Daphnia pulex: one gene and its partner. The protein of the gene in region 1 purifies or fractionates together with the protein of each later gene. This does not show direct contact. Links are inferred from orthologs where the notes say so. Each region holds a gene or a part of one and is shown in the gene's direction. Other genes may lie near its edges.

The links.
Region 2: the proteins of vesicle-associated membrane protein 2-like (region 1) and vesicle transport through interaction with t-SNAREs homolog 1B-like purify together in Homo sapiens (affinity purification with mass spectrometry; 4 studies listed by BioGRID and IntAct, counting the BioPlex papers as one, with this or other methods). This does not show direct contact. The link is inferred for Daphnia pulex from reciprocal best matches to the Homo sapiens genes VAMP4 and VTI1B.

Annotation. Positions count from the first base shown.
Region 1 is NC_060027.1:3,967,338-3,983,456, forward strand, and holds vesicle-associated membrane protein 2-like, read left to right. Parts: upstream 1-8,423; 5' UTR 8,424-8,552; coding exon 8,553-8,606; intron 8,607-8,726; coding exon 8,727-8,779; intron 8,780-8,838; coding exon 8,839-8,880; intron 8,881-8,940; coding exon 8,941-9,087; intron 9,088-9,149; coding exon 9,150-9,235; intron 9,236-9,300; coding exon 9,301-9,326; 3' UTR 9,327-9,356; exon of another isoform or gene 9,357-9,420; intron 9,421-9,432; 3' UTR 9,433-9,744; downstream 9,745-16,119. Other genes in the region: uncharacterized protein LOC124208271, read right to left, coding at 11,611-12,750, 13,443-14,568. UniProt on the Homo sapiens protein: Involved in the pathway that functions to remove an inhibitor (probably synaptotagmin-4) of calcium-triggered exocytosis during the maturation of secretory granules.
Region 2 is NC_060018.1:4,111,826-4,128,353, forward strand, and holds vesicle transport through interaction with t-SNAREs homolog 1B-like, read left to right. Parts: upstream 1-7,469; 5' UTR 7,470-7,583; coding exon 7,584-7,807; intron 7,808-7,894; coding exon 7,895-8,357; 3' UTR 8,358-8,467; downstream 8,468-16,528. Other genes in the region: uncharacterized protein LOC124189006, read left to right, coding at 1-309, 752-980, 1,050-1,371, 1,452-1,567, 1,635-1,774, 1,834-1,962, 2,028-2,227, 2,306-2,408 and 8 more; pre-mRNA-splicing factor SPF27-like, read right to left, coding at 2,840-3,005, 3,067-3,177, 3,243-3,415, 3,484-3,576, 3,768-3,872; homer protein homolog 2-like, read left to right, coding at 8,679-8,683, 13,373-13,529, 14,198-14,329, 15,166-15,427, 15,768-15,868, 16,427-16,528. UniProt on the Homo sapiens protein: V-SNARE that mediates vesicle transport pathways through interactions with t-SNAREs on the target membrane. These interactions are proposed to mediate aspects of the specificity of vesicle trafficking and to promote fusion of the lipid bilayers.

The DNA of each region.
Region 1 (16,119 bases):
AAATCTGCATTGACGGATGCAGTTAAAGCTGCTCAAACGGAAACGGAAGACAAGAATCGACTTTTGGAACAGGCAAACACCGAATTGATGAACCAGAAAGCGCAATATGATCAGCTAAAATCCAACTTCGATGAAGAAAAAGAAAAACAAAGCAAACTTTTGGATGAAACGCAAACCGAGTTGACGAGCTTAAAAGCGCACTTCAATGATCAAAAATCCACTATCGAACTCGAAAAATCTGCATTGACGGATGCAGTCAAAGCTGCTCAAACGGAAACGGAAGACAAGAATCGACTTTTGGAACAGGCAAACACCGAATTGATGAACCAGAAAGCGCAATATGATAAGCTAAAATCCAACTTCGATGAAGAAAAATCAGCTTTAGTGGATGAGATTAACCTCGCTAAAACGGAAAAAGAAAAACAAAGCAAACTTTTGGATGAAACGCAAACTCAGTTGATGAGCTTAAAAGCGCACTTCAATAATCAAAAATCCACTATCGAACTCGAAAAATCTGCATTGACGGATGCAGTCAAAGCTGCTCAAACGGAAACGGAAGACAAGAATCGACTTTTGGAACAGGCAAACACCGAATTGATGAACCAGAAAGCGCAATATGATCAGCTAAAATCCAACTTCGATGAAGAAAAAGAAAAACAAAGCAAACTTTTGGATGAAACGCAAACCGAGTTCACGAGATTTAAAGCGCACTTCAATGATCAAAAATCCACTATCGAACTCGAAAAATCTGCATTGACGGATGCAGTTAAAGCTGCTCAAACGGAAACGGAAGACAATAATCGACTTTTGGAACAGGCAAACACCGAATTGATGAACCAGAAAGCGCAATATGATCAGCTAAAATCCAACTTCGATGAAGAAAAATCAGCTTTAGTGGATGAGATTAACCTCGCTAAAACGGAAAAAGAAAAACAAAGCAAACTTTTGGATGAAACGCAAACTCAGTTGATGAGCTTAAAAGCGCACTTCAATAATCAAAAATCCACTATCGAACTCGAAAAATCTGCATTGACGGATGCAGTCAAAGCTGCTCAAACGGAAACGGAAGACAAGAATCGACTTCTGGAACAGGCAAACACCGAATTGATGAACCAGAAAGCGCAATATGATCAGCTAAAATCCAACTTCGATGAAGAAAAAGAAAAACAAAGCAAACTTTTGGATGAAACGCAAACCGAGTTGACGAGCTTAAAAGCGCACTTCAATAATCAAAAATCCACTATCGAACTCGAAAAATCTGCATTGACGGATGCAGTTAAAGCTGCTCAAACGGAAAGGGAAGACAAGAATCGACTTTTGGAACAGGCAAACACCGAATTGATGAACCAGAAAGCGCAATATGATCAGCTAAAATCCAACTTCGATGAAGAAAAATCAGCTTTAGTGGATGAGATTAACCTCGCTAAAACGGAAAAAGAAAAACAAAGCAAACTTTTGGATGAAACGCAAACTCAGTTGATGAGCTTAAAAGCGCACTTCAATAATCAAAAATCCACTATCGAACTCGAAAAATCTGCATTGACGGATGCAGTCAAAGCTGCTCAAACGGAAACGGAAGACAAGAATCGACTTTTGGAACAGGCAAACACCGAATTGATGAACCAGAAAGCGCAATATGATCAGCTAAAATCCAACTTCGATGAAGAAAAAGAAAAACAAAGCAAACTTTTGGATGAAACGCAAACCGAGTTGACGAGCTTAAAAGCGCACTTCAATAATCAAAAATCCACTATCGAACTCGAAAAATCTGCATTGACGGATGCAGTTAAAGCTGCTCAAACGGAAAGGGAAGACAAGAATCGACTTTTGGAACAGGCAAACACCGAATTGATGAACCAGAAAGCGCAATATGATCAGCTAAAATCCAACTTCGATGAAGAAAAATCAGCTTTAGTGGATGAGATTAACCTCGCTAAAACGGAAAAAGAAAAACAAAGCAAACTTTTGGATGAAACGCAAACTCAGTTGATGAGCTTAAAAGCGCACTTCAATAATCAAAAATCCACTATCGAACTCGAAAAATCTGCATTGACGGATGCAGTCAAAGCTGCTCAAACGGAAACGGAAGACAAGAATCGACTTTTGGAACAGGCAAACACCGAATTGATGAACCAGAAAGCGCAATATGATCAGCTAAAATCCAACTTCGATGAAGAAAAAGAAAAACAAAGCAAACTTTTGGATGAAACGCAAACCGAGTTCACGAGATTTAAAGCGCACTTCAATAATCAAAAATCCACTATCGAACTCGAAAAGACTGCATTGGCGGATGCAGTTAAAGCTGCTCAAACGGAAACGGAAGACAAGAATCGACTTTTGGAACAGGCAAACACCGAATTGATGAACCAGAAAGCGCAATATGATCAGCTAAAATCCAACTTCGATGAAGAAAAAGAAAAACAAAGCAAACTTTTGGATGAAACGCAAACCGAGTTCACGAGATTTAAAGCGCACTTCAATAATCAAAAATCCACTATCGAACTCGAAAAGACTGCATTGGCGGATGCAGTTAAAGCTGCTCAAACGGAAAGGGAAGACAAGAATCGACTTTTGGAACAGGCAAACACCGAATTGATGAACCAGAAAGCGCAATATGATCAGCTAAAATCCAACTTCGATGAAGAAAAATCAGCTTTAGTGGATGAGATTAACCTCGCTAAAACGGAAAAAGAAAAAAATAGCAAACTTTTGGATGAAACGCAAACTCAGTTGATGAGCTTAAAAGCGCACTTCAATAATCAAAAATCCACTATCGAACTCGAAAAATCTGCATTGACGGATGCAGTTAAAGCTGCTCAAACGGAAACGGAAGACAAGAATCGACTTTTGGAACAGGCAAACACCGAATTGATGAACCAGAAAGCGCAATATGATCAGCTAAAATCCAACTTCGATGAAGAAAAATCAGCTTTAGTGGATGAGATTAACCTCGCTAAAACGGAAAAAGAAGTAAAGAGCAAACTTTTGGATGAAATGCAAACCGAGTTCACGAGATTTAAAGCGCACTTCAATAATCAAAAATCCACTATCAAACTCGAAAAATCTGCATTGACGGATGCAGTTAAAGCTGCTCAAACGGAAACGGAAGATAAGAATCGACTTTTGGAACAGGCAAACACCGAATTGATGAACCAGAAAGCGCAATATGATCAGCTAAAATCCAACTTCGATGAAGAAAAATCAGCTTTAGTGGATGAGATTAACCTCGCTAAAACGGAAAAAGAAAAACAAAGCAAACTTTTGGATGAAACGCAAACTCAGTTGATGAGCTTAAAAGCGCACTTCAATAATCAAAAATCCACTATCGAACTCGAAAAATCTGCATTGACGGATGCAGTTAAAGCTGCTCAAACGGAAACGGAAGACAAGAATCGACTTTTGGAACAGGCAAACACCGAATTGATGAACCAGAAAGCGCAATACGATCAGCTAAAATCCAACTTCGATGAAGAAAAATCAGCTTTAGTGGATGAGATTAACCTCGCTAAAACGGAAAAAGAAGTAAAGAGCAAACTTTTGGATGAAATGCAAACCGAGTTCACGAGATTTAAAGCGCACTTCAATAATCAAAAATCCACTATCGAACTCGAAAAATCTGCATTGACGGATGCAGTTAAAGCTGCTCAAACGGAAACGGAAGATAAGAATCGACTTTTGGAACAGGCAAACACCGAATTGATGAACCAGAAAGCGCAATATGATCAGCTAAAATCCAACTTCGATGAAGAAAAATCCGCTTTAGTCTCGTGCAAAGAAGATATCAAAACTTTGACGGAAGAGTACCACATTCAAAAGGAACTGCTATTGAAATTGACCGATGAGAAAAATGAAGTGGTAAATTCTGCAGCCACTGCCCGACAACAAGCTGAAGCGCTTGCCACTGAACAAGCTGCAGCACTGACAGAAGCTCTGAAGACATTACAACAAGCTGTAAGACATGCGAAAGAAGAAGCACCATCTGATTTGTCAAAACCGGAACATAAAGAAGATCCGGTTGGAATTAATGAAACTTTAGAGGAATGGTTTGTCAAACATGGAGTATTAACTAGAGTACCTCCAAAGAGTTGGATCCAATTACTGGAGCACTCTGGGTTTTTGATAGAAGAAAAGGCTTCGCATCTCCGAGAAAAAGCTGACAGTCTCTTCCATGATGATCCTAAAGCAGACGACAACACAAACAACCAAAATTAAAACACATTTCTAAACAATCGTAACAGGAAGAGGCTAATTTAAAATGTTTTTGGTCTGCTTACTTTCCTCTTCAATCGTTTAAGCATTAACTGTATTCTTTGCATGTTTGAATAAAATTTTTCGTAACTACTCGATTACCTTACTCGATTTATTTCCATGTCATATTCCGTATTCCCGGCAAGAAAACTCATGGAACTTTCTTTGACCGCATCGTTTTCTTTCGTTGCGTCAAACCACTTAACTTGTTGCCAAAATTAGTTTTGTATAATGAAACATCAGAATACACTTGCTGTATTGGTCTAAACGAAAATCATTTACCAAATAAGGATAATTCTTTGGTTGAACTTCTCGTGGCTCAAGATAGACAATGAAGGCAATCTCTCCATTCAAGGCCATATCATGTAATCTATGATTCTGGCCAAGATTTCGAACTTCGACTGCACATCAGACACCAACTTCGACTGCAGCTCAGACACCAACCAACATTGGAAAAACCTACGAAACAATAAAGGTGAAATGCAATTAAAGAAAAATAAAATATTGTAGACTAAACACATGAGCACTTAACTTAAAAATTGACACTTTCCAATAATTGTTTCTACAGTCAAAATGTTCTCAGAATTCCTGTTCATAAGACTTGACAGACTCTCAAGCAGGGAAACACTGAAATTCAATACCACAATGAATTCCAGAAAAAAAAAATACTTTTCATTCCCACTTTTCCCAGAATTCCAGAAAAAAACTACTCCCAAAACATTTCCAAAAAGAACCTACTTTCACCCAAGATGTCTTGATACATTAGAGCTACTGTTCCAACAGAAAAGGGCTGGGGCACTTTCTTCTTCACCACTCCAACTAAAAAATAACAATTTGATGCAGTCAGGAACCTGGAAAGAATAAAAAGGATATGATTATTAGCACTTTCATATTAATTAACCCCATGACAAACCATTTAATTATTTATGATAACTACATTAATATTAATTTTAAAGGAAAAGTACTTCATTTTATATACATCAAACATATTTAACCCATCTTTACATAAAATTGCTGGAAAATATGTTGAAGCAGTTAAGGAAATAATTTGAATGGGGAAAGCTAAAATTATGTCACCACGCCCACGACCACAAAATTAACGTTATTGAAAACTTAATTCCACAAGTGGGAATTTCAAAATTTTTTATAAACACTAAGCCAATTGGAACTTCGATGTAAAATTTTCAATTTAATTTAAAATTTCAATTCTTAAGAGACAAATACTCTTTGTACACCAGCCACCAATCAGGCATCAACAGAAAAAAGGGAGAATAAACCAGACAACAGAATAAATTCGTTAAGCAGTACGAAAATTCTCTACTAGGTATCATAAAATGGCAGCCGATTCGACAAAAAGCATTTCGGAAAATCCTACAAACCCAGTCGATTCGGCAAAATTGCATGTTTATGACGCATAATGAATGCGACACTTGCGACAGTATTAACGTCAGCAATCGACCCCCGTTGATGGGTGACTTCTAAAGGGACTCTATGCCGTATAATAAATTTTAAAAATAAATACAATTACCTTTTAAAAGCACCATGTTATTTGAAATCTTGATGGGGTGCGACAATTTGGGAGTTTCCACTGTCTTGCGAATACGCAATAGGGGAAAACATGTGGCGACCTCCCTGTCCGTTTTGCAAATGCTGCCGGCTTTGGTCACCATTTCTTCTCAGCTGGCCATGCACAGAGGGTTCGAATTTACAAAGCGAATATTCCCTCAACGATTAGAACTGAAATTTCCGGAAAAACGAGACATTCTTCCTCATCTTGAATGGTTCAAAAGGTAGATCAAAGCGGGCAAATTATTCTTGGGCCATGATGGAAATCTTGAACCACATAGGGCATCTATTGTGTTTCATCGCCTGTGTGTTTCGAGATCTATCGGAAGAATAAAAAGCTCATTAAGATGGATTCAAAAAGAAATTTTAAACAATTTTCTATTTATACCTGATGCTTTAGTCCTTTGATATAATAGAGGCAGAGAGAATGGAGGTTAAAACGGGCTTGGTAGTGGAGAACCTGTGCGGTAAGTAACTTTTTCCGACGTCTGGTTCTTATGGAGATTAAGTAGAATGTTATTGTGTTCCAAACATAGAAAACCTACTTGATTCTTATGGCCTCGTTATAGGGAACTTGTGTTCTCTCAAAATAGGTCAATGCACTTTATCTCTATCCCAAAAGTATTTTCTCTGCCCTCTCTAGTTCACACAGTTACACAGTAAACAAACAAGCACTCAGAACAATGAATACTCCAAATATCTAGGAAACAGGAGAAGATTAATGCAATACCTGTTTTTATTTTCGCCATCATTCTTCAAAATAAAACAACAAAATGTAGGTCTGGATTCTAGAACCTAAAAGGATAGAAGGAATGATCAGGAACAATTATTCTGAGCAGCTTGCCAGCTTCATAATTAACATTAATTAAAGACATTATAGACATCATTTATAGATAAACAATGCGCTGTAATAGTTTAATAGAAAGAATTAGTCAAGCTTGAGCTTACTTTCGGGTTTCGGCATGTTTCTCCATTTTTCGTCCTGAGAGGTGAGAGCCCATGACTCCACCTACCAGCCATATTTAACTAAATTTGCAGTTGCCATCTAGTAGTCACATCCGAACTTTTTGTTTTCTTTCGATGTAAAAAAAAGAAGAGCAAAGCACATAATTTTTTTTTTTTTATGTTAACGATTAATGTTAACGATAGAAATAACGACGTTTAAAGAATGAATCTGAAAGTCAAGTAGATAATAAAATGTGCCTAAAATGAAAAGAAAGTTAAATAGAGGTTTTTCCATTTGGTTCGTGTAAGTAGAGGGAAAAGTCGTGCGGCTAGTCGACTAGTGCGCACCATGGCGGTGGATAGCCGAAACTTGCTGCAGACTTTGCTTGATCCAAACGATAGTCACCGTAAGGCCATGTACTGTAACCTGTCAGGCTGTCAGCAGCAAAAGTGAAACCTGTTTTTTTTCTTAAGTGTTTAAAATGACAGAAGGTTTTTGTTTCATATGTTCAACTTATGAAAAAAAAAAAAGAGATCGCCGAAGTTTTTTCAAAGTGAAATGAGTTCTTTCTCAATTGAATTACTGTTAATGTTGCATTCTGGCACTTTGAAAAAACTTCGGCGATCTCTTTTTTTTTTCATAAGTTGAACATATGAAACAAAAACCTTTTGTCATTTTAAACACTTAAGAAAAAAAACAGGTTTCACTTTTGCTGCTGACAGCCTGACAGGTTACAGTACATGGCCTTACGGTGACTATCGTTTGGATCAAGCAAAGTCTGCAGCAAGTTTCGGCTATCCACCGCCATGGTGCGCACTAGTCGACTAGCCGCACGACTTTTCCCTCTACTTACACGAACCAAATGGAAAAACCTCTATAGGCTAACTGAACTAATATATGAACAATGGGAGGTCGGGTGTGTGAGTCGGATAAGGCGTGGCTTAGTGATCGCAAGAGCACTTTGACACCTGAGTTCGACTCTACTGGTGAACATAGCTGTTTCACACCGATCGATAAATAACTAAGTAAAATAGCAATTAATGAGGTAATAACTCGTCAATGGAATGGATTATCGTTGGTTTCATTGATTTCATTGAATCTAACGAGGTGCAAGAAAGTTAGCATGGAAGTATTGCATTCAAATCCTAAGACCTACATCTAGGTATTCAAATGGCTTTACAACGTTACACTTGTAAGCCAATCGGTTAATTCTTAATCCATGGTTAACTGAATACAGCGGTTCTTTGAGTCCTAAAAAGCGTAGGCTCAGAACTCTAGATGAAGCTAACATTGATCTGGCGATGCCAGTATTGGTCTACAGAGTGAAAAACCCCATACATGTTTTTTTTTTTTTTAATTATTATTGTTTAATTGTTTAAAGTTAGATTTCTGATCATTATTCAAACTTCAGGTTTCAAAAATACTCTGATTTAGACTTTTGCCATCTATTCGCACATGAATATACTAAAAATCGAATTGTTTTTATAAAAATGGTCTTTTTACGGCAATTAGCGAGTTATTGAAGATCCTATGCTAAATGCTATGTGTTCTTTTTAAAAAATGAAACAGTACTTATTAATCACAAACAGCTATTCTTTTGCTGCTTTTACTTGTAGCCCAGCTGACGAATGTGTACACAGTTGTAGTCGTCGACAATAGATGGCGTTTAGCAGAAGATATTTGATGAAATTAATTGACAGCTTTGTTTTCCTTTAGTTATTGTAAAGTTACTAGTTAGTTTGATCCTATTTTCACATTTTCAAGAAAGTTCATAAATATTTTAATATCTGCTATGTCTGGAAGACCAACTAGACCAAGCAGGAGTGAAGGAGCAGATTTTGAAAGAGTAAAGTCATAAAGTGTTTTTACCAAAAACTCACTTGTCAGCTTTAATATTCTTTACAACTATATGTTGTTACGTGGGAGTAACTTAAATACTAACACTAAGAATCCTTGTCCTTTACAGGAGCAGCTACTAGATAATGTGTCTGATGATAGTGATGAAGATTTCGTGCTCAAGTAAGCTATTTCTAATATTTCAAATTAGTTTGTTTCATTTCAAATTTGAATTTTTCCAGTAAAAAAGATGGAGGACAATTTTCAAACAACAAGCTGAAAGAGTAAGCTTACATCTTGAGAATTCAAATTACATGTTGATCTAATTGTTTTTCTTTTGACAGGGTAAAATCCCAGGTGGAAGAGGTCACTAACGTTATGAAGGAGAATGTGCATAAGCTGTTTGCCAGAGGTGACCAGCTGGATGAGCTGAATGAGAGATCAGAAAATTTAAGAAGTGCTTCCGATGAATTTCACACTGCTTCCTCAAGGTAATCTTTTATTTTTAACAACTAGTCTACAATATTTAACAAAATCTTTACTCACCATGCAGGCTCCGTAAAACAATGTGGTGGAAAGAGATGAGAACTCGTCTCATTCTAGGATCACTCTGCGGTCTAGTTGTGCTAATTATGATAGGTATCATGTGCTGCATTTTTAAACATAGCAACTTTTATCTAAACCATTTTTCCAAATCAATATAGTGTGGCTATCAGTCAAATACCATTGATCAGCAAGAAGATTTTCAAGATATCCCCAAGTATTGAAATATGTTGTAACTGAGCTATTCTAAAACAGCTATAATAATTTGTTTTTGATTATTTTAAAAAAAAAAGCCTGTCGACCGGTATTACTAGGCGTACAAGTTGAGTCCATCAAAATCCGCAAATTCAAATATTGAAAGGTGGGGTTTGCACACTATAGTCAGATGAATGGATGACAATTTGAAATATATATTTGATTACTATAAATCCACTTAACATTGTCTTGTGGAATCGAGTGAGATTGATAATGTCTGTCACAGAAAAATGAAAAAAAAAAGTATCAAACACTTTGATGAACGGCTGATCATTTTCCCATTGTATTTCACCTTTTACACGGTTTATATATCAATTGATGAATACAGAACCGATGGTATTCCACATATATTTATACATCGTGTCACTCTCTCTCATTGGATTCCATCCCCCGCCATATCCAACCCGGTCACAGCTCTTTTATTTTCCCTCGAACTGCTGATCATTCAACGAAACTTAAATTTTTTTTCCCCGATTCGTTCTATATTCTCCTAACTTTTCAACAAAAAAAAAAACACGGAGTGAATCTGATTTTATCATCACGTACGGAAGTTTTTTTTTTTCATATGTATGTACAGGGAACTAAAAAATAAAAACAGGGGGAACGACACAGTTTTTACGTTGAATATAAAAAAGAACTCAAACAAGGAAACAACATCGTATCCAGTGGATGAGCAAAGAACGAGAGAGCAAGAGCGGAGAGGGGAGTGTGTGTGTGTGGTGGAGGAATTCAAGTTAAATAAATAAAAAAACAACCAGGGTAATTTTCGCGACGTAGTTTTATCTCTTTGGGTTGGTTTGTTTTTATTTGGTGGAAGAACAAAACGAACAAGAACATAAGAATGAAGGAAGGCATGAAGCATGCATTGGGGATGCTCAGACCCCTCCACAATTGGAATTGTGTCCCGTGGACCATATATAGTATGTATAGCAGAGTTATAGAGAACTGTACATACACACACACACACACTTGCATGTCCAAACCCAATTCCTTTGGGTGTATAAGAAGAAGAAGAAAGAAAAAGAATAAGAAACGGCTGCGGTGTATATAGAGCTAGAGAGTTAGGTAGATATATAATCATCTGTTTCCATATATAGTTCGTTTTCCAAGCTGAGCTCCTGCTGGATGGCATATAACACGCCGGAAGAAATGAAAAAGAAAATAGAAAAATCCGGTGCGTGATGTGAAAACCGTGTGCAGCGACTTATATAGATTGGCTGAGTGTGTGTGTGTGTGATTTGCCCCCTCCACCCAGCAACAAACGGCTCTAATTGCAATGGGATCAAATGTTTCTCGCTTTTTTTTTTATTATTGGGCGGGGCTTCTTGTTTGACCGCGCGCGCTCTGAACGCACCCGACATTTTCAACGGCCAATTTCATCCGCAATCAGAAGCTTCCCGTTTGTTTGTTTGTTTTTTCTCCGACACACACAACAATCAATATAAAAATTCAGAAACATATATCACCCGCGCCTAAATTTGTCATTCAACACAATTCAAAATGATCTAAAGAAAAGAAATAAACAACCAAATTCAATGTTTCGAATATTTTCGGAGAGAGATCAAGAATGGCAATAATGACAACAAACAAAATTTTTCCTTTTTTTTTCTTTTTCAATTGGCAATTGAACCAATTTCGTTCGTGATACTTTGATCATTTTCGGGGGGGTTGATTGGGAGGCAGTAGGGGAGAGACTATATAGAATCAAAAGATGACGCTCGCATTGGCAGGTATTATTATCTTACATATAGGTTAGAGACTTTTCTTCTGGATATGAGGAGACAATGAAGAACATCAAAGTGAGCTACCAAGTGTGATGGAAGACGAGTTCAAATATCGGTCGCCCGTCCGCTCTCACCACTTTGCAGTTGTTTTGTTTTTTAGTTTTTTAGTTTTTAAAATTTTTTCTGGTATCGATTTATGTATGTCAATCAAGATAGAATTGATCAAAAGAGAGAAAAGGAAAGATGAAACGATTTTTTTGAAATCCCAGGGATATACTGGAACTGGAGACACAAATGAGAAACGATCGGGGAGGGGCATTATACACACATAAGACATTGAATTATACACGGCGCAACACAAATTGTTTTGAGAGATTTTGTCCAAATCAAAAAGAGAAGAAAAAAGGAAATAAATCAGACGCTGGTAACCCAATCGTCGACGCAGAGGGTCTCGGTGGCCCAGTGCGGCGTGTCGGGTTGGGTGATCGGATGTCAGGAACCCGGGCCGCCCTTCTCGTAGTGACGGGTCAGACTGACCGTTACGGAACTGAATTTGGCTTTCGTCTCCTTCGGCCGAGGTTTGTACGTCCGCCCGTTGGCCGTGTAGCGACGGGCCTGGTAGTAGCGGTGGACCAGGTAGACGGTCACCAGTCCGGCCGTCAGCGACAGTAAAATGACGACCAGTCCGACGTAGAGCGGCCAGAAGACCAGCCGGATGCACTGACGTTCATCCGATCCATCCGGGCAGTCGTCCCGGTCGTCGCACCACAAATCGGAGCTCAAACAGGCGCCCAGTGCTGGACAACCCGTCCGGCAGACCATCTGACTGCTGCTGGCATTGGCTCCGTAAACGGACTGACGGGCGGCGAACGACATGGACTTGCTGCTGACGTCCTTGAAGACGGACAACCAAGTCACAACCAGCGGAGTCTCATCCGGAATGGGCACCCCTTGCAGAGAAGCGACGACCAGGAGCCCGTCGGCCATCCAATTGCGTTCCGACCAGCCGGCCGAGTAGAGATTGAGCGGCTGCTGCTGCTGCTGGGTTTTAGTGTCACCGCCCGTCTGCTGGAGTCCGCCGGCCATGAGACAAACTTCCCGGTAGAGTTGAGTCTTGCCGTCGGTGATGGAGTAGACGAAGAGCCGATTGTTGGTCGGGCAGCCCTCGACCGTCTTGGTGACGGAGGCCTGGCCGGCCGGGAAGACCAGGATGATGTATCCACCGCGGGGGGCCTGGATGTGCCACGGGATGGAGTGGCGGACGCATCGGTCGCGCGGGTCGATGCGCAAACTGCCGCGCTTGCCCGTCTGCTGGTGGCTGTCCCAGCAGGCCGGATCGATTCCGCGCGAGAACGAGTACTCGGCCACGAAGTAAAAATGGTCGTCGTCCTGGGCCCAGTTCATGTCGCGCACCTCGAAGATGAGCTCCAGCGACGAGGCGGCGCTCTGCAGGACCACCGGGTTGTTGCCGGACAGCGAGCGGCACGTGTGGTAGGAGCGACGGCGCACCTGACCGCCCCAGAAGACCTCGTCGACGCTCAGACAGGCCTGGCAGCCGCTCTGGTTGAACCGGGCGCAACCCGTCGAGTGGAACGGGTTGATGGTCAAATGCGTGTGCTCACCTTTGCCGGCCTTGTTATATAAGACACAATCAACCGGAATAATGATTATTAGACAAATTATAATTTAAGCTTTTGGTTCTACACTTGTTTAAACAAAGCGCGCCAAATTTGAAATTGCTGGAAATTTAAAAAATGGCGGACTTGAACTAATAATATAGATGATCGGATTAGCGACAGTGGCTGGCCCATTTGACGTGGAAATTGTGTAGAGTTTAGCCGCTTATTGGTAAGAGTTATACGCAACAATAACGCAAGATCGGCCCCCATTTTTATTTGACGAATAGTATAGAAGATAGAGATGAAGTCGCATCGCTTCCATCTCTCGTTTCCCCAATGGAGCGGAGAGAGAAATGGGCTTTTACATCCGCAGCATTCGATGGCACAACCGGATGGAGCTGCAAAAGTTTCCCCCCTCTAACCCACCGGAGCTTGAACACGTCTATAGCCTATAGGATATAAATGGGGAAAGGGTGGGGGGACGGCCAGCCGGCCGACGAGGGTGCATTGAGAGCAAGTTCTATATTTTTTCCTTCTTCTTCTTATCTTTCTCGGTAGATAAATGATTCATCCATCTGATGGATGTTCATCGCCTTTTCACCATCCATTGCTGCTGCTAGTGCACACTAATTGGTTCAAAATCAATACACGGCCCAGCCTGGGCTGGCCTGGACTGGGCTGCCCTGGGAATCTAATGTAATATACCTGAAAGCGATAGAGGCAGCGTAGGTGGCGGCTGCCTCCGCGTCCGTAGAGCAAAGGATTTCTAGGCGATGAGACGCTGCCATTTCCTTTGGCGCTCTCCAGGAGCTGGAAGCAATCAGGAGTCATCATCTGCCAGGCGAGTTGCTGGTCGTCCTCATCTCCGGTGCTGGACGGCGCTTCCGGCGAGTCCGCCACCCCCGTCGTCATCCCTGACCCGTTAGGAGCCGGAGACTCCTGCTGCTCCTGGCCGCTGCTGCTGACGAGCTGCTCCTTGGGACTGAAACGATCGACGGTAATGAACTCGAAGCGGATGACGAAACTCCACGGTCGGATGGCCGTTCCGGTGGCCAGCTCCTGGCGGATGGTGAAGCGCGGGCTGCGGGACAGGTAACTCTCGCCGTCCTGCCAGCGGCACGGCTTGTAGGCCGTCGACGAATTGGCGTGGACCAGAGCGTGCGGGCAGATGCGCGGCTGCACCGTGGCTCCGCACTGACGGGACACCAGCTCCTGGCCGTCCGTCAGCGTCAGACAGTCGCCATCCTCACCGCCGTCCAGCCGGTACGACAGGAAAGTCATCCAGACCCGCTGATCCTCCCGCCCCGTGAATTCGTACAAACAGGACGTGTTAGGAGCCATCGTGGCTTCCGGACTGCGAATGATCCCTTGGCGCTGGCTCCTGCGGCTGTTGGATCCCGAGCTGGTGATGGAGATCCGGCACTCGGGATGATACTGGCGCACCTGATTGGCGGCCACGAATCGAACGCGGGTCGTTAATCGGAACCCGGGCGAGGCTCCTAACGGGGCCGGATTGAACGGGGCGTCGTGCGGTTGGCTGCGGAAGACGACCAGGAGCTCGCCGCCGGCTCCGGTGATGTGCGGCATGTTGCCCGTCCCGCAGAGCCTGGCCAGGAGCGGCGACTCGATGGTGGCGCCGTTGTAGATGGAAACGGTGTCGTCGACCCGGGTCCGGCACTCGCGACCGCTCATCATTTTGCGCTCCTTGTCGCCAGCGTCCGACGTGCGGACCGAAAAGGATTGGCCCGGCTCCGTTTGCACCAGAGTCAACAAGATGGTCTGGTTCTTGGGCGACCACGCCTGCCGGATGTAGTAGTAGCAAGTCACATTCCTATTACAATAGATGCACAATACACAACACACAGGACAAAAGAAATAACAATTGAATATTTAGATATTATATAATAACATCCGCGCAAAGAATTTAACGCCGGATGGCATTTCCCCGGATATATAATGGAAAGAAATTCCTTCCCCTCCTCCTTTTTTATCTATATGTACGGCTCCTATTGAATATGGAAGGGTCGGATCGAAACCGATCGACATCTACTCGAGCCATAGGCTTTTCTATTCTATATAACCAATAAATCCTATACACAGAACGATGTATGTATAGAGACGACCCACACACAATAGGAGGCCGGTTGGCTCCTTGCGGCTCCTGAAACACGAAATACAAAATCTTACAAAAATATCTGAAAATGTGCAGAGTTTTTTTTTTAAAGAAGTGGTGCTGTTGGTGAATGGGAGCGACTTGTATTATATCCACATCTATTACGCACGGCGCCATCTTGCCACGCATTCATACATAGATGCGGGCCCCGCAAGAGGTCGCTCCTTGGCTCCTTTTCGTCTGTCTTCACACGTATCGATTTTCGCGCTCTCCCAGCAGCAGATCTCTCTCTTGTATGTGTATACACTCGACTTTTATTCTCTTTCCAAACTCGTTTTCGTTTGTAGACCAGGCCGCTATGTGTGGCTCCTAGACTGGCTCCTACTTTCGAAGAAAAGAAAAAAAAAAGGATCTGACCCGGCGCCCACGAGGACCAGAAAAAAGAAGAAGAAGACGCTCTTTCTCTTATTATATTCCAAGAGCCTTGTGTCTCCACTCTCTTCTTTCAGTTTCTTATATAAAAGAGAGAGAGAGAATAAAAGAAAAGAAGCAATCGTGATACACACACACACACAGAGAAGGAGCTGCTCCTTCCACCCACGTGAAGTGGGGGAGAGACGTTGTTTCTGCATAATGACGGCCGCCGCTCGATGCTCTCTGCTGCTCTGTGTGTGTGTGTGTATATTCGCTTGAGTGGTAGATTGTTCATGGGGAGACAAGTTTTTTGGTAGACTGGATATATTGCGACTGTGTGCTGCCAGCGCTCCTTAATATCGGATGGCAATGGGTAATTATTCAGCGCTCCTGTTTGGTGGGGGGGGGGGGGGCGACGGGTGTCGACACCCATTATCTCCATCTATGTTTCTCATTTATTTCGAGTCGAAAGTCCCAGCAGCAGCAGCAAGTCCAGCAGGAAAAAAGAAACAAAAGAAAGTCTCTCCAACAATCGATTCTTTTCTTTTCTCTCGCAGACTTTTGCTTCTGCAGGCTCTCGACATTTACATTATGGGAAACTATGTGGGTGGGCGACGGAATATAGCTATATAGCCTACTCTCTCGTCTATATAGGAGCTAGCTCCTGCTGTAGGCCAAAGAGTTTTAGACATTTTCTGTGCTGTGCTGCTGTCCGTCGGTTGATAGTTTGGCCCCCCAAAACTTTCCTTTTTCCCCGCTGGTCACAGCAGCAACAAAATAGAATGAAATAAAATACCAAAAAAAGAAGAAGAAGAAGTCTCTAAACCCAAACTTTTCTCTTCTATACGTTCCGCG
Region 2 (16,528 bases), on another chromosome or scaffold:
CGACTCGGCCAAGATTTGAACCAGGCTCACGGAATTGTGGACGCCCTGCGCATGGAGCGTGATGAACTAAGGCGACAGCTGGAAATGAGCCAACAACCTCGGCCTCTACCTCTTTCGGCGGCAGCGAGTATGGGAGCTCTCTCTAGCCTCCAAGGCAGCCCCATCCACCAGCGGTTGGTATCAAGTCGCGTATCCAGTCCCGTTGTTGTGGAAGAAGGTCCAGTTTGCAAGGTTGCTGAACGGGTGCGCATTAGACGACTAGACGGCCGGGAAAAACTCTTGACCGGATCTCAAATCGCCAGTTTTGGGGTAAGACATCTCTGTCTGTGTTTGTGATTGATGTGTCAGTAAATTCAGGTGAGAATAAGGAGAAAGCCCACTGCTTCGAGTTCGAGACTGCCCACATTCCGGATCTTGCCATTTCGTAATCTTCTTTAGTGCGAAAGTCACAGGCACTCCCATTGTTTGTCTGCCAGAGGCCATGTCCAGTATTGGAAGCCAACAACATTTTTTCTCTATTCTTAATTCACGAGGCTTTTCTTTGGACCTGTTTACCTTTCAACTATCGCACAAAGTTTATCATAAGTTTCTTCCCTTAAAAGATAGACAATCCGCTTCCATGAAGGCTATAACTTTGCACCCTTAAAAGAGTTTCCGCCTTTATCATATTTTTTTTGTTTGTTTCGAAGCTTTACGTGGTTCTCTCTCTCCATTACGTAAAGCCTTTGTCTTTATTGTTTATAATTTCTAGATACGCGATGCTCGAGTGGCTGAGCAGTTGGTTTGCTCCGTTCACCAAGATTCTGTTCAAGGCGAGGCACATCACGCATCCGGAGCCGAGTCTGTACGTGTCAATGAATTGGAGCTGGAAGTGGAACGGTTGGCTAGCCGCTCTGAGCATTTGCGAGCTCAAAATGACGTGCTTTCGATGACACTTGCCGAGTCTCGAGCTTTGGGCGAACGTCTCGCAGTGCTGCTCGGTATTCATATTCGATAAAAGAAATGCTGAAATAGATTTTTCTATTTTTTATTTTTGTTTATTCATGCAGGCAAATACGAATCAAATTGCATGGCGTTACGCATGGCACTTGAAAGAGCCGATAGAGTTTCAGAAGCATTTGAAGTTCTAGCTGCCTTAGTAGAAAGCGAAATGTCTCTTCTATTGGCCAACTGCCAAGTGGCAGGACTAGGGTTGACTGGCCGTAGTGGAACCGCTTGGGAAACGGAATCAGGTGGCAATAGTAAAGATCTTAGTGTGCTTTGGAAACGCGCTACAGAGCGCAGGCGTTCGGCTGAGAATCTTGCTCGATCCCTCTTGTCAAAATACGATCGTGAACGAGACAATTGGGAGGACACGGGAAGACACACAAAGTACTTCAAAAAATAAAAAAATTGTCGGTCTTCAGGACTTATAATTTTCTTATTCCATTTGTTTCTCGTCTATCTTGTAGTACAACAAGCTCTACCTCAAGTGGAGCGGAGAGTGGTTCAGGATCGGGATCCAATCCAGCTTGTACTCTGGAGCCCACAGAAAGGAAAGTACGAGATATAATCGGCCGGTTGAAAGGTAACATATTTTGTGCCCAGGCTTACTTAAGCAAATTACTTAATCATTTTCTCATTATCTTTTGTAGGTGATAGATCAAGCTTGGAAAACACAGTTCAACAAGTTTCGCTTCCCCTGGAGTCAGTTTTGGTTGATCCTTTGCCTAAAGAAGTCTTACCTTTGGCTGAAGCTCGGAAAATTGATCTAGAGATGGCCGTCATCATGCAGGTGAACATCTGCTTTTGTATAAATGAGTAAAAATAGATTTAATCCTATCGTTTCTCTAGGAATTGATGGCCATGAGAGAAGAACGTTCACGACTTCGAACTCAGGTTTATATTCTTGAAAAAGAGCGGGCTACTCATGAAGCCCAACAACAAGCAACTGCCGCTCAACTTCGAAGTCTTAACACAGGCGTAGGTTTTTTGGATATTGAAATGGAGAATGATTTAGGTTACTTAAACGCACTTTTCACTGATAGGGATCTAACACAGATGCATCAGGCGAAAAGCCTCTGTCCTCAATTGAAGGAGCTGATGGAGACGAATTAACAGTTCGAGAAAAGCGACTCCAATTGAAAATCCAAGAGTTGACGGGAGCCCTTGAACGCGTCACTTCAAGTGCAGAAATCCGTAGTCAGCAGTCGGCTGAACTAGTTAGCGATGTCAAGAAAGCCAACGCGTAAGATATCTTTAAATGCTTAACTTACAATATGTTACGTTTTCAACAAATATGTAATATCCGTAAACTAATTTTCAGGACGTTGGTCCAACTTCTTGAGAGGACTAAGAAAAAGTACCAATCTCGATTAAAAAGACTAGAGCAGCAAATGGTCAACATGTCGGAAAGACATGCAATGCAGGTATATAGAGAAAAATTACGAGTTATCAAGTGTGACCGACATAAAAATGTCATGTGATTATCAGGTTCGCGTCCTAAAGCAACGAGTTATGGTGCTGGAAGATGAGTCTTCCGTCCGCCCTTTACCTTTAAGTTCAGCCCCAAGTGAGACTTCCCTATGATCTTACCCTTTTTTTTACCCTTCTCTGAATTACGCTTTGCTGTACTCATACGCTTCTTCTCGTTTTCAATTGTGTGATATATAAAATCAGAACGTGCTACTTACCATTTATAAGACAAGCTAATCTGAAAGTGCATGACTTTATACTATTTTTTTGTTTTGTTCCCTTACAACCAAATCTTTTTGGTTGTCACTTACTGAAAATCTCGGATGAATCAATTTCCTGTTGCAGTGTATTATCCGAATTCGATAAAGTAGGTTTACATTGAATTTCATTCATTAAGTGAAGCTAACTGTCTCTCAATTTCAGCACACGCGAGTTCGATTTCGTAGTTTTTAGTGATCAAACCAAACCAAGTGGCTTCCAAATGTTTCATTTTGTCTCCAACCTCTGTCTGATCTTTTTTTCTAGCCCAATTGACATCTTGGATTTGTTTCCTGTAAAGAAAAATATAATAGTGTATTTTGCAATATGGTGTCTACTTTACTGAAATCATACTTAAATTCCTGAAGATGCTTCTGAGATTGTTGGATCATCTGGGACAATACAGTGTTATAAATTCTCCATGATTCACAACCATACTCTGACATTAATTCCAAGTTCAAAATCCTGTTTTTTAATTGAAATTTTTTTAAATTTATGGTTGCTGTAAAATTTTTTTTTAGAAAACAAACCTTGTTGTTTGATGTTCTAATTGAGCCATTGAATTATCAACACACTCTATCCATGCTTGAAGATCATTTAGACGACCAGCAGATGGGGGTGGGAGTTCATATCGTTTCATGCTCAAAACATCCATTGGTTTCTTTTGAGACAGTCGCTCAAATTCAGTCTTCATCAAAGGAGTCTATGAACATGATAATTTCCATAATTATTACACACTCCTATCATTACTTCCATGCAGACAGTTCTTACTTCAAATGCTGACAGCTCAAGTGGAGGAAGATGTTCTAGGTAGTTTTTGGTTGGTCTATATCTTCGTGTCTCTTCATCAACCAATGCAAGTGCCTGATAGAAAGAAATTACTCTCATTAAACAACTATTGGACAAGAGCGAGAGTTCTCAGCAACATACAGTACTATGGTCTAGTACAATAATGTATTGATGTTAGAGATGACTAGGCTAACACAAGAATCTCCAAGCCTCAATTCGAAGCGATTCAAATATTTCAAAGTTTGCAATGTATAAGTTTTGCTTACCGCTTCTCGTAGAGTTGGATCTCCATATTCTTGGTCAACGTATGGTAAATCGTCAACCAAAATCCTTTCGTTCGGCGTGGAAATGTTTGTTGACGGAATCGGCATTTTGTGATTTGTGTCAAACTGTCTGTTGTCAGCAAGATTGTCAGATTTTCTGCTGGATTAATAAATATGAGCCACAGTTTTAGTAATTGATTTTCATTATGTCTAATTATTCATAAACTTACTTTTTGATAATGAATAAAGATCATTAACTTCCTTTAAATGAATAAAATATGAAAATAAATTGGTATATTAAATTTTATTCAATAATATTTTGGACACCGTTGCATTGTGAAACAAATAAAACAATATTAAAAATTTTATAACTAATCACTCCATTAAAATGTTTGAAATCATCAATTGAAACTCCATAATTTTTGTTATTAAACAGTGGATCAGTTCAGTGAATAATCTGTAATTTTTCAAGTAAATAATCAAGTAAAAAACGGAACGTAGAGGGCGGCAATTCTCAAAGTATGCCGGCAACATTGTAGACTTCCTCTTTGTCGCCATTACTGTGGGTCTCTTTCATTCGCCTTTTTACCCGGTCAGGACTATCTACCAAGATGGTAAGCATGAGGTTCTCCAAACATTTTACTAGTTTTTACATACATTAATTTACGAATAGTAAGTAAAAAGGTTAACGGGAGAAACGTGTTTTAAGAAAATTCTTGCGTGCGTATATTTTTCTAAGCCATTTTCTTGTTAATCTATGGCGAAAGTTTGGGAGTAAAATGTTACCCACAGCGTGGTTTCGTCCTCGTGTCAAATGGGCTCTTGCTGTTTTTCTATGTTAATTCAACGTCGTTCTTGGTTTATTGTTATGTTTTGGTTAATTGGTACATCTAGTTCAAAGTTTGTGTAAATTCAAGTGTTGTCTCTTGAAAATCTTAAATCTAATTTGTTTATCCATTTTGTTTTACAGAGTAAGGTGGTCGCGAGGCCGTTGATTACCGTTTACAATGAGAAGGCTGAGGCCTCTGGAACCAGCATCCAGCTCCCTGCAATCTTCAGGGCTCCCATTAGGCCAGACATTGTCAGCTTTGTTCAACAACAAATGTCAATGAATCGTCGTCACCCTTATTGTGTCAGCGAGAAAGCAGGTAACTTGTATGCCAATTATATGGCACACAGCATTGAAATGTAGGAGTAATTGTACGTCAGACTCTTCTTGTGCAGTGTGCAACACTAAAGCGAGTCCCTGAGGCCTTTCTCGCTTTGTTTTCTTAAAGTGAGGGGTTGGGCAACCGGACAAACTTCATACACACATGTAATGGTGTGATTGTTAATCTTCTTCTTTCCTATTACAGGTCATCAGACAAGTGCTGAATCATGGGGTACTGGTCGTGCTGTGGCTCGTATTCCCCGTGTCCGAGGAGGTGGTACCCATCGCTCCGGTCAGGGTGCCTATGGTAACATGTGTCGTGGTGGACGTATGTTTGCCCCCACCAAGATCTGGCGCCGTTGGCATCGCAAGATCAACGTTAACCAGAAACGTTTTGCATTGTGCTCGGCCGTCGCTGCTTCGGGTATTCCGTCTTTGGTGATGTCCAAAGGTAAATATGAGCCAAGATCATCATTGCACGGTTCCATACTAGCATGATGAATATGTGTTTCCTGTGTTTCTGACAAGCATGAAGTCATACCATGAGTCCCTGATCCATACAATGATAGTAGTAAATAAGGTCATATTGAATTAGAACTAAAATGTTTTTACATTCAGGTCACTTGATCAATGATGTCCCGGAGATGCCTTTGGTTGTGTCGGACAAGGTTCAAGAATACAAAAAAACCAAACAGGCCGTCGTGTTGTTGCGCCGTCTTCGCGCATGGACTGATGTCCAGAAGGTTTGTTTCTAGATATTTATGTATAATTATCACGGGAAAATGATGAGTTGCTTCTTGGTCTGTGTTTATGAGTAAATGATTTCACCTTAGAGCTCTGAACAAAATCTGAGTCATGAATGATTTTATGTGTGAACACCGTCTAATTAATCTGATTTCTTACAGGTTTACAAGACCAGGCGTTTCCGCGCAGGTAAGGGTAAGATGCGCAACCGTCGCCGTACCAGCAAATTGGGTCCACTGGTCATCTATGGCAGAGATCAGGGTTTGACCAAGGCTTTCCGTAACATCCCCGGAGTTTCTATGATTTCAGTAAACAAACTGAACCTCATGAAGCTTGCTCCTGGTGGTCATGTTGGCCGTTTCTGCATCTGGACCGAGTCTGCTTTCCAACGCTTGAACGCCCTCTACGGTACTTGGCGTCAGAAGTCTAAGCTGAAGAGCAACTACAACTTGCCTCAGCCCATCATGACCGGAACAGATTTGTCTCGTTTGTTGAAGTCTGATGAAATCCAGAAGGTTATCAGACGACCAAGGCAAGCTTTCTTTTTAATCTTTATTATTGATTAATTAATGATGAAAACCACATTTAGAGCATTGGGTTATGAATCTTTGTGATTAGCAAATTAATCTGAACGCAGTTTATCATTCAAGTGATACTGTCTGGTGCAAAGATGACTAATCGATACAATTTAAATTACAGGAAGATGATCCGTCGTGCATCTGTTAAGCGCAATCCTCTTACCAACATGAGAGCATTGATGAAGTTGAACCCGTACTCCGCCGTGATTAAGAAGTCTGCCGCTGCTGTTGCTGAGGCCCGGAAGAAGAGCAAGACTGCTTTGCTCGAGAAGAAGCGCGAGGTAATTTTGTTTTCTGTGAATGTTTGTATGTCTTAGATAGTTTTTCGTTTGATTTCTGTTTGAATTGTTAAAATTGTATTACCGCATGTGAACGTAACTTAATGCATGCCACATTGTTTAACATGTACAGGCGAGTGCTACCAAGAAGGTAGCTGCCTAGCCTGCGAGTGAGCGCACACAGCATGGTTTATTGAGCTAATCAACAGATGTTTTTGGTGAGTTGTCCATCGTAGTGAGAATCTGATTTGGAAAATAGTCCAAGTTCTAATTTGTATATCCATTCTACAGTCAGTAGTACCCGTACCAAATTTACCTGTTGAAAAGCCGAAAGAAGAAGCGCCCGTTCAAGCACCGGTCCAAGATGTCAAACCAACTCAACCTCCTCCTGTTGAAACCCCTAAGCCAACACCACCAGAAACAAAGAAAAGCAAGAAATCCAAGACGGCTGCAAAGGATTTGCAAGTAGAACCGATGGATGTAACACCCGCGTCCGTTGTTGAGGTGAAGACTGCCCTAGCTCCAGCTAAGGAACCATCTCCGCCAATCGTTACCATCCCTGAACCTGTAGTTAAGGTGGTAACACCAGTCGCTACTCCTGTAAAAGGAAAATCGCCACCAGTCGTTCCTGCCCCAACACCGATTGCTGTCCCGGAAGTGAAGCCGTTGGAAAAGGTTCTTGCTGCTCCCGTTGAAGCTATCCCATTAGAAGAAGCTTCTGTTCCCGAATCAGCTGCTGATAAGGGATCGAAAGCCAAGAAAGCAAAGGGGAAGAAAAATAAGAAGGAATGAGTGACATCATTGAACCTGTGCCTGTATGACGTTTTTTCTGTGACATCTGAATAAACCTTCTGCAGGCTGAAATGTGTTTAATTTATCTTAATAATTAGCTATTAAATGTAAATGTCATGGAAATGCTAATTCTCGCCGTTTGTGGCGCTGTCTTCAATGTTTTGTCAGATGGTGTTTTATACGTCAAGTCTACAATACATTCCTTGTCTTCGTCCTGATAGCAAGGTATCGTATGTAGTGCTCAAATAGGTTCAGAATTGTGCTACAAGAAACAGAAATGAGCTCAGAGAAATTTGAAACTCTGGATGAAGATGTACAAGTTTTGTTCGAAATTCTGCAAAGAAAGTGTTCCGGTAAGCTAGAACAATGTTTTGGCGAAGAAAAAAAGCAAGTTATTGCCGATGTCGAAAGAGGACTAGATGAAGCTAAACAAGCAATATTTGAAATGGAAGCTGAAGCTAGAGCAGCTCCTGGCTCTTTTAGGATGGACATGATTGGCAGGTAAAAATGTGAATGTCTTAAGTTTACACAGCAAACAATACATGTAGTAAAATTTCAACTAATGTTTTTTTTATCATCCAACTTCAGAGTACGAAGACATCAGGACACCTGTTCCAAACTTGCTCTATTGATCAATTCTTCCAAGCAATCAGAAATGTCTCTGGCCTCATCAAGAGGAAAACTGTTGGAAAACCAATCCACTGCTGCATTTAGCCAAAACCGGGGCATTGATAATGCTCTTCAAACAACTGTTCGCCAAGGAACTGCAGTTCTGGAAAGAACATCACAGAGCCTCTACAGAACTACTCAGGTTGCTTTAGAAAGTGAAGAGATTGGCACTGGAGTTATTCAAGAATTAAGTCAACAAAGAGAAGTGCTTGTTCGTACAAGAGATAGATTGACTGAAACGGATGCAGAGCTGGGAAGAAGTAGAAGAATCCTTAAGTCAATGTCTCGTGTTGCTATGACTAATAAGCTTGTCCTAATTGTCATCATTCTGTTGGAGATATGCATTTTGACAGGTTTAGTTTATTATAAATTTTTTTCTTGAAATTATTGTCCTCAAATTCTTAACATACCTCATCAAAAATGTAACTAATAGTGTTAGTGCCTTGAATTTGTGTAAAAGCCGATACAAAAATATAATCATGCGCATAGCGACCAGTATTTTTTTCCCCTTGCGTGCGCAAAGGATTTCCTAGCGGCCTTCGTACGCAGACGGAGTTACGAACCCAACCTCTGGCTTTCAGTTCCATTTGACAGAAGCTCTTCCTGTGTCATGGCGTGCTATACGTGTATTTAAAGTTTTTGCGTTTGCCAACGAAATCTGAGATTTTTCTAAGTTGTTCGTGCTTCGACATCGACAGTTAAAATGGGGTAAGTTGTGCATTTATTGATTCTGTATAGTCTTAAATGAAAAATCGATTCGTACCATATATCCACGTAGCAACAGCTGGATGCTGAGCACCACTGTCAAGTCTGAATTCAAATTTACTGTAATTAAAAGGGTATATGTTTCAAATATTTGTATTTTGGACTATGGAATTAGACAAATAAGAATTTTCCATTAGGGTGTATAAATACCATTAAGCTAAAGTGTAAATCAATATTGAAGTCACAGACTCACTGAAGTGTCCCGTCATTCAAATGTTAAAAAAGATTTTATTAATATCTTGGCTGTAAATATAGCATTCATATTTTCAAACTAATAAGCTAAGCTGCATCCAAGTTTTCAACCTGTACTAAATTCTAAAGTTGTATTGAGCTAAACTTCGAAGCTGAATGACTTGTGCCTCTAGCTACAGCCCAGAAGGATTGTTGCGAAATGTTATTCTCAACTCAAGCAATAGATTGTTGCTTTAGGTGATACATCAAAGTAATATTTCATCCAGCCAGAAAACTCTTGATATTGCTAGGATGCTAGGCCCACTGTTAGTGGGATTTTAGTCACACAATATTGATTTACTTTGAAACATGCAAGCCCCATTCAGACAATTCCAAAAGCACAAACATTCAACAATGATAATGGGAAATAGAAATTTGTGGACTTTGTGTATTCAGTTGTAAGAAATCGATGCTGCGTGTCCTGTGTCTAATTCCTAGATGGCTACTTCGAACCCTTTCCCTTATTTTTCATGGTATTTATTAGTTAATGCTATTCTCGTCATGTTAACTTTCATCCGTACCTACAGTATTCTCCTTTTTTTTCGTTTGCTCACTACAACGTAAGATATCGCGTGTCGAGTTTCATTTCATTTCACTGCTTCTTTTGGAGGCTTCTATCGCCGGCGTCTCCTAGGTTGGACGCTAGATATAAACCCGTCTGAGAAGCCCCACCTTTACTTTAAAATAAAGTAAAAATTAATTTAAAAAAAGGCAGGGGAAAAAAAAATAACTAAAATCATCCTTCGGATAACAATCGGTTGAAAACAGGCTCATCTCATCAAAAATGAATGGCATCAAAGTATATTTATTCAATCTTCCATAAGAGTTGGTTTGCGAGGGGATGGGGGTATTTGTTTATTTCCGTTTTTGTGTATGTGTGTGTGTTTGCAATGGGGAAAAAAAATCGCTTGTATACTTGCCCGTGTTTACGTGTGCGTGCCAGAGTCGCAATGACGGGATTGCTAGATCTAGCCGGAAACTTTTAATGTTTCATTTCCTTTTTTCTTTCTGTAACTTGGCATCCTCCTCGGTTGTGGCACACTCCATCACCATTTAGCACGCGTGACTGTGCATGCCGTATCGACAAATCTGTCGATTCGGCAATTTCGTTTCGACACTCTTTTCGTGACTGAATAACCCGTACACTTATCATTGAACTCTAATCGCCCGAATTTGTGTGAGGATTTCGACCCGGAGACTATCCCATTGGAACTTTATTTTTTCAATCTGTTCCGCAGTCGGGAACTAGTTGAATTCGTAAAAACTGTGGCTTAAGTTCAATATTCTTTCAGCTTGCTCAAATATTTAAGGCGTAGGAAGCGGTTGCCGAGGTTTAGGGGGGGGGGGGGATTGCATCTTGGTTGTGCGCCTGTGTCAGGGCCAAGAAAGCAGTTCCCGGATATGATGCCATGTCGTGTCTGTCTCTTTTGGAGAGGGCGAGCTATTTGCAAGGCGCCAGTGAAAAGATGGAATCACGTCGACAACCCTTGTCTAATCTTAAGGATGAATCTCGATGATACCTCAATCAGACGTGTCTCTTTAAGCCTTTAGGTCCTCGCCATTCGATCTATAGTTCCCGAAATCTTATTGTTAATCCTAAGATTTTATGAGGTTGCCATGGATGGCTAATGAGTGCCTGCCATGATTGGGCTGCGTTCACCAAGGCGACGTTCTCTCCGTGTTTCTTCTCTCGCTGACTCTCTCGGGATTTTCGAGCGGCTAATGACTTTATTACTCAGTGCTCTATTTATCCTCACAAGTCACCTAGTAATATTTACAGATATCCTACATGAACTAGAGCTATAGAAGCTCAACATTACCAAACAGAAGAAAAAGTTGTTTTAGTTCAACGAATTTTCCTTGGTTATTTGCACGATCTCCTGTTCTTTTTTTCTTTTTTACTCTATTGTGTTCTGTGAACTGTAAACCCATTACATGAATGGATAGGTAATGGTGTCTTGATCGTTCAACTGGAATTCGGCTTCTTTGATCCTATCTACTCGATTGCGATCAGGCTCAATCCTGTTAGACTTCATCTCGTATCGATGGATCTCGCACCCAATGGTCTATCGAACAATCGCCGTCGTATGGATTCGATAACACACCGAGGAACTCCTCCTGGAAGTCAGACCAACAGCTGCTGCATACTTCCCCTGACAAGAGTGTATTGAACACGGTCGAAACTAAGCCCCAAAAGATAGGAAAGTAGAAAGCCAGATTGATGTCCACAGTTGGTCTCGATGACGTTTGAATCTGCGAGTTACACAGAGAGAAAATAGTGAGGGACTGGCGGGAAACAAGAAATCGTATTAGGTCCCAATCCGATTTATATTGTATACGTTGAGCCTGTCGTCCTAGCCCCTTGAAGGAATGACGACACTTTTTTTATTATTATTATTATAACGGATAACGTTGAATTTTTCTTTCTTCGCTTCTATTTCGTCTAGCGTCATTTTACATTGTGGACAGACAGCCGGGGAGTCGAATGGCGTCGTTCTTGTATTTGTTCGTTGCCATGTCGTGCGACTACCTCTTTTATATTCCGGCAATGTCAGCTACGAGATTTTTATTTTGTCGCCTTCAGAATTCATTGCCCCCCGCTGTTATTATGTACGCCATATTGCCTCTGCAGGATGTGTCATTTTCAGTGAATATTTATCGCGCTCATATAAGTATGTTATATAGACTAGTATCCAGTTTGCGTCTACCGTCCCAGCCTATATTGAAGTGTATCTCTCCCACTCTAATCCCTGTGTGTGTGAATAGAATTTCTCTGGATAGGTAGAATGGATCAAAACCAGCAACAGCAAGGTTGTTTTGTTGGTTTCTCTAGCTTCCTTTTCGTGTCGAGAGGTATTGATTCGTTGCTTCTCTCTCTCTCTCTCTATCTCTATCTCACTTTTGGTCGGTTGGAACTGTTTGCCCAGAGAACAGAGCTCAGGGAGAACGGTGGGTAAGCAGGAGGAGGGGTTGGCTGATTATGGCCCCCCACTCCCAACCGCACGTCATAATCAAGGCGCCAAAAGTGATTGAGTTGTGTGGCCCTTCATCACACACACACGATGCGTACGAATCGTTTTGCTTTAATCACAAGTTTGTCTGGGTGTATAGTAGTCGTGGTGGTCACAGTTTACTTTTTTCCTTATCCCATCGCGCCACGCCTCTACTCGTCGAATGCATTCCACCTCACCCCTAATGAGTTTGAAACTGTTACATTTGGTAGTGGCTGGCTTGTAAGTGCGTCGGATCCATCCCGTTTCCGCCCGTTTCACGAATTCAAATTATCAGCGTTCGTGTTATCTTACTGGGATGGCTCATTATCTCTCCCTCCGTGGGTTCCGCATTAATTGACTTTTTTCTCCCCCCGCATATTGCCCGAAATGCCATGATAGAAATTGTGTACGTGACATTTCCGAAGAAATCTCGTGACGCTCTGCATTTTTAACGCTTGGAATGTTGGGGTTTTTGTGAGCTGTTCGCCGTTTAGTCTGCCGGCTTACTTGAAGAAAAGTTGCTTCAAACAATATTTTACGTGATTTTACGAAGCCCTGGCCTTTATCCGCCCGACCTGATCGTCGTTGCAAGAGCGGGCAACTGAGCTGGACAAGAATGTTGGTTCTGAATCCTTATACGCGTATACTTTTTGCTCCTCGTTCATTTATTTATGTGGGCCTGCGCCATCGCTGGAATGCATTCCGTTGCGAAGAGTGCGCCATATTGATTCTAGCGTAAACAATAATGAGTTCTTTGACGCCCTGAAGTTTCCATGCGGCTCGTTAATTTTATCCAGTTGGACTTGGCTCAAAGACTAGGCCGCCAGCCAGCCCAATTGTAATCCAATAGAGAAATGACATATCGATCCGCTCGGCGCACCCTCTCTCTCTCGCGCGCGCTACGTTTTCTTCCCAACTGTTTCTATTCAGTGACGCTGGAAGGTCCTTTCGTGATATCAAGTTATTTGCGGCCTGCTCCAGTGTACGCAGTCTGTATGGCCCCCGATCCTTCTCCGTTCTAACCAACAGCAGCCCAACGACCCCGTCCATCTTGGGACTTTGTCGTGCTGAAATGGGGCGAACGTGCCCGCATGTGCGCACGGTGGTTAGATAGCTTGAGCAGAAAAAGAAGAAGAAGAGGAGAAAGAAAGAGTGAACATCTGCCCGCATTTTTTGTCCCTTTCTGTACTCCCTTTCTCTGGCACTATATTCCTTTTGTGTACGCTCAAAAATCGATATAATCCTATTTGCTTTTACCCTCTCGAATTGATCATTTTCGCCTTAGACTTTAAGAGACTTGCCACAGAATAAAGAAAGCGTACCCTAGAGAATCGAGCCGAATGTCTTGTTTATAGTAGTTTGCAAATCCAATTTCTTTAGCTTAATCGTTTCTTTTGCTGTCCGTTAGGGAACAGCCAATTTTCACGTGCAAGGCTCACGTGTTCCACATCGACCCGAAGACGAAACGTTCGTGGATCCCGGCCTCGTCGTCCGCCATCAACGTCTCCTTTTTCTACGACTCGACACGATCCCTGTACCGAATCATCAGCGTCGAAGGCACTAAAGTAAGCAACACTCTTCTCCATTCAAGATTCAAAGTTTCTTTTTCTCCACTTTTTCAAATGCCATGCTCACCTGTCTTTAACGTGAACCGGCTGGTAATAAATACTCAAAAGGGCAATGCTTCTTCTGCTGCCCTACGGAGAAAAAAGCCAAGCACAAGTTGTTGAACGTCAACAAGTTGGCGCCGTCGTCCTACCGGCGTTCAGGCTTAGAGTGCCTTTCCTTGTTCCCGATTCTTTTCGACACGACTTAGTATGTCGATCCCTTTTTTGTTTGTTTTTTTATTCTTTCTCCCTCTTCATCTTTCAGGGTTTTGTGTCTATTGATTTTGCGTCATCTCTGGTGCCCTAGAAAAGTTGGGCCGTTTTTTTCTTTCTTTCTTCCCCATTTTCAGCTGCGGGTTAGATGGATGGATGCATCACGGTTTGAAGAACACGGTTTGAGCTGTTAATGGGAACTGAAAGGGTTTACGGATCGATTGTCAGCCGACTCTTAAATGGCTCAGCTCTTGATCTTGGCTTGGATTGGGCGCTGGATGAGCCATCGTTATCGGACGCATTACTACACTACCCTTAACTACGCTAGTCACTCGTCCAAAAATTGTAGATTTCCCTCTCTCGTTGCAACATCAATTAACGAGAAACATGTTTGCTCTCTCGTTTATTCTCAGGCTGTGATCAATAGCACCATCACACCCAACATGACGTTTACGAAAACGTCACAGAAGTTTGGCCAGTGGTCGGACGTCCGGGCCAACACCGTCTACGGACTCGGATTCCCTTCAGAAGCCGAACTCAACAAGGTAAGCAATTATTTTTAAGGACATGGCTTCTTTTTCTTTCAGATTCTCTTTCAAAAAGGAAAACATTACGAGTAACTTTTTCTTTTAACTCGTTTCCTCTCTTTTTTCTCAAGATCTGTTCACTCCTTTTTTTTCTAAGTTGAGCTGTCGTAACTTTCTCCATCTCTTTGGTCGCCATCCCCGGGCTACTAATAGCCGTAAGTCGAGGATGGATGCAAATCGTCCCCGACGGTGACGCCCACGCAAACTTAGAAAGAAACAAAAATGAATAAAATAAAACAAAAAAAAGTATAAAGAAATATAAATGCAAACAATTTCAGTGAATAGGTCTATAACATAAAGTGCCAGTCAAAATGCAGGCATTGAATTGTTTATGAGGGACTGACTCCCTTTCTTTGATGCATTTTCTCGTTGCCCCTTTTCCCTCGCCTCCTGTCGAAAACTTGGCATTCATGCTGCTACGGATATTTAAAAAAGAAAAATAGAGGCAGGAAGAAAGAGAAGAAAAAGCGAGGTAGACTACTTTCTCTCTGCTCTACTCGTATTCGAGTGCTGATCGATCGTGTCTGGCGTCCTCCAGGCGTCGCCATGCGCTTCAAATATCGTCCACGATCCCGCGAGGACTAGGTTCATAAGATCACGAATTTTTTTTCCCCCCATACGTACGGCCGATTAAAATAGAATCTAAAATAATAATCCCTTTTTTTTAGAATTTATAAAAATACTTCCTAATATGTTTTGATGCCTTAATATATGTGTTGAGCTATCCGAATGAATGACGCATGATTATTATTATTTTTTTCAAACTTTTGGAAATATTTTGTTGATTGAAATAGTTCATTGAGAAATTCCAAGAAGTGAAGGAAGCGACGAAGAACATCAGCGGCACGTCGCCGGGCAAGTCGTCTACCAGCGCTACCAACGGCTCGACGCCGACACCAGCGGCGCCGACTAGTATGACCAACTCGACCTCGGCCAGCGCCAATGCCTCGCCCGTCAACAGCCGCTCGGCCATGGCCACTGTGGGACTGGGCAGTGGAGCCACTCCTACCGCCTTTACTAACGACGATAAGGAGCCGATGACCGTCAAACAAGAATGTGAGTGTCAACAATATCCTCGCTCCGTTATTTTTTTATTATTTTTTTTTGCCCATTACCATCCAGCAGCGGGAGCGAATGGATTAGGCTCTCTTGCTATATTGCTTTTGCAATGTCCGTCTCGACCTGGTCTCGACCCTTGAGACGCAATGGAGTGAGCAAAAAGAAAAAGAAAGAAGGGAAAAGATAGACTAAATTGCTGCCGCTATTTTTATCTCTTTCATTCTATTTCCATTAAAAGAAAATGATAGCGGGACCCACCTTGATTGTCCGGGTCAAGTGTGGAACTTATGAATCTCTTGGGGATTATTTAACTGCAACTTGTTATTATTCCTTGTAGATCAGACGGATGGGAGTACATCGCCCGGCTCCGTATCGCCAGCTCTCCTCAAGTCAGCCCTAGTGACCCACCAGCGCTCGCAGAGCTTATCCGGCCTCCAGGTAACTTGAATCCTTCTGTTTGCTCTTCTCTGTCTGTCTGTTTCTCTCTCTCAGCCTGCCGGGCCCTGCCCTCCCAACTTTATTATCTCCTTTTTTTATTATTGTGTGTGTACACCGGGGTCAGCAAACGACAAACGAGAACATTGTAGAAAGTAAAAACGTACGCTCACAACATAAAGGGAGCAGAGAGAGAGAGAGTCTAATACTTGGGTTACTTGCAAGATTGGACGGAAGGATCGATCGAGCTGCACAGACACACACACACAAGACACAAGGCTTGCTCGCTCGCTTGCTCCTCCCGTCTCTCTACGCTACGCTCTGATAATACAGGAAACTAATGAACTTTTTTTTATTTTTTTTGTTCTCCTTTTTCTGCTGTTCCTGCTTCGTCTTTTGTATTGTTCTTCATCTCCTTGGGTTCGCCATTCAATTCTTTGATTCGTGCCTTCTCTTCCACTGATGCTGCTGTTCCTGTTCCCGACATGGCGGCGGTGGTGGTGATGGTGGTGATGGCGAAAACACATCCTTATTCCACTGGCTGATTTTCATCCCGTCCAGCCTCCAGCTGATAGCCCAAAACACCAGCAGAAGATCGATAAAAACTCTCCGGGGTCCAGCAACAACGGCGCCGCAGTCGGAGGAGTCGCAGTTGCAGCATCA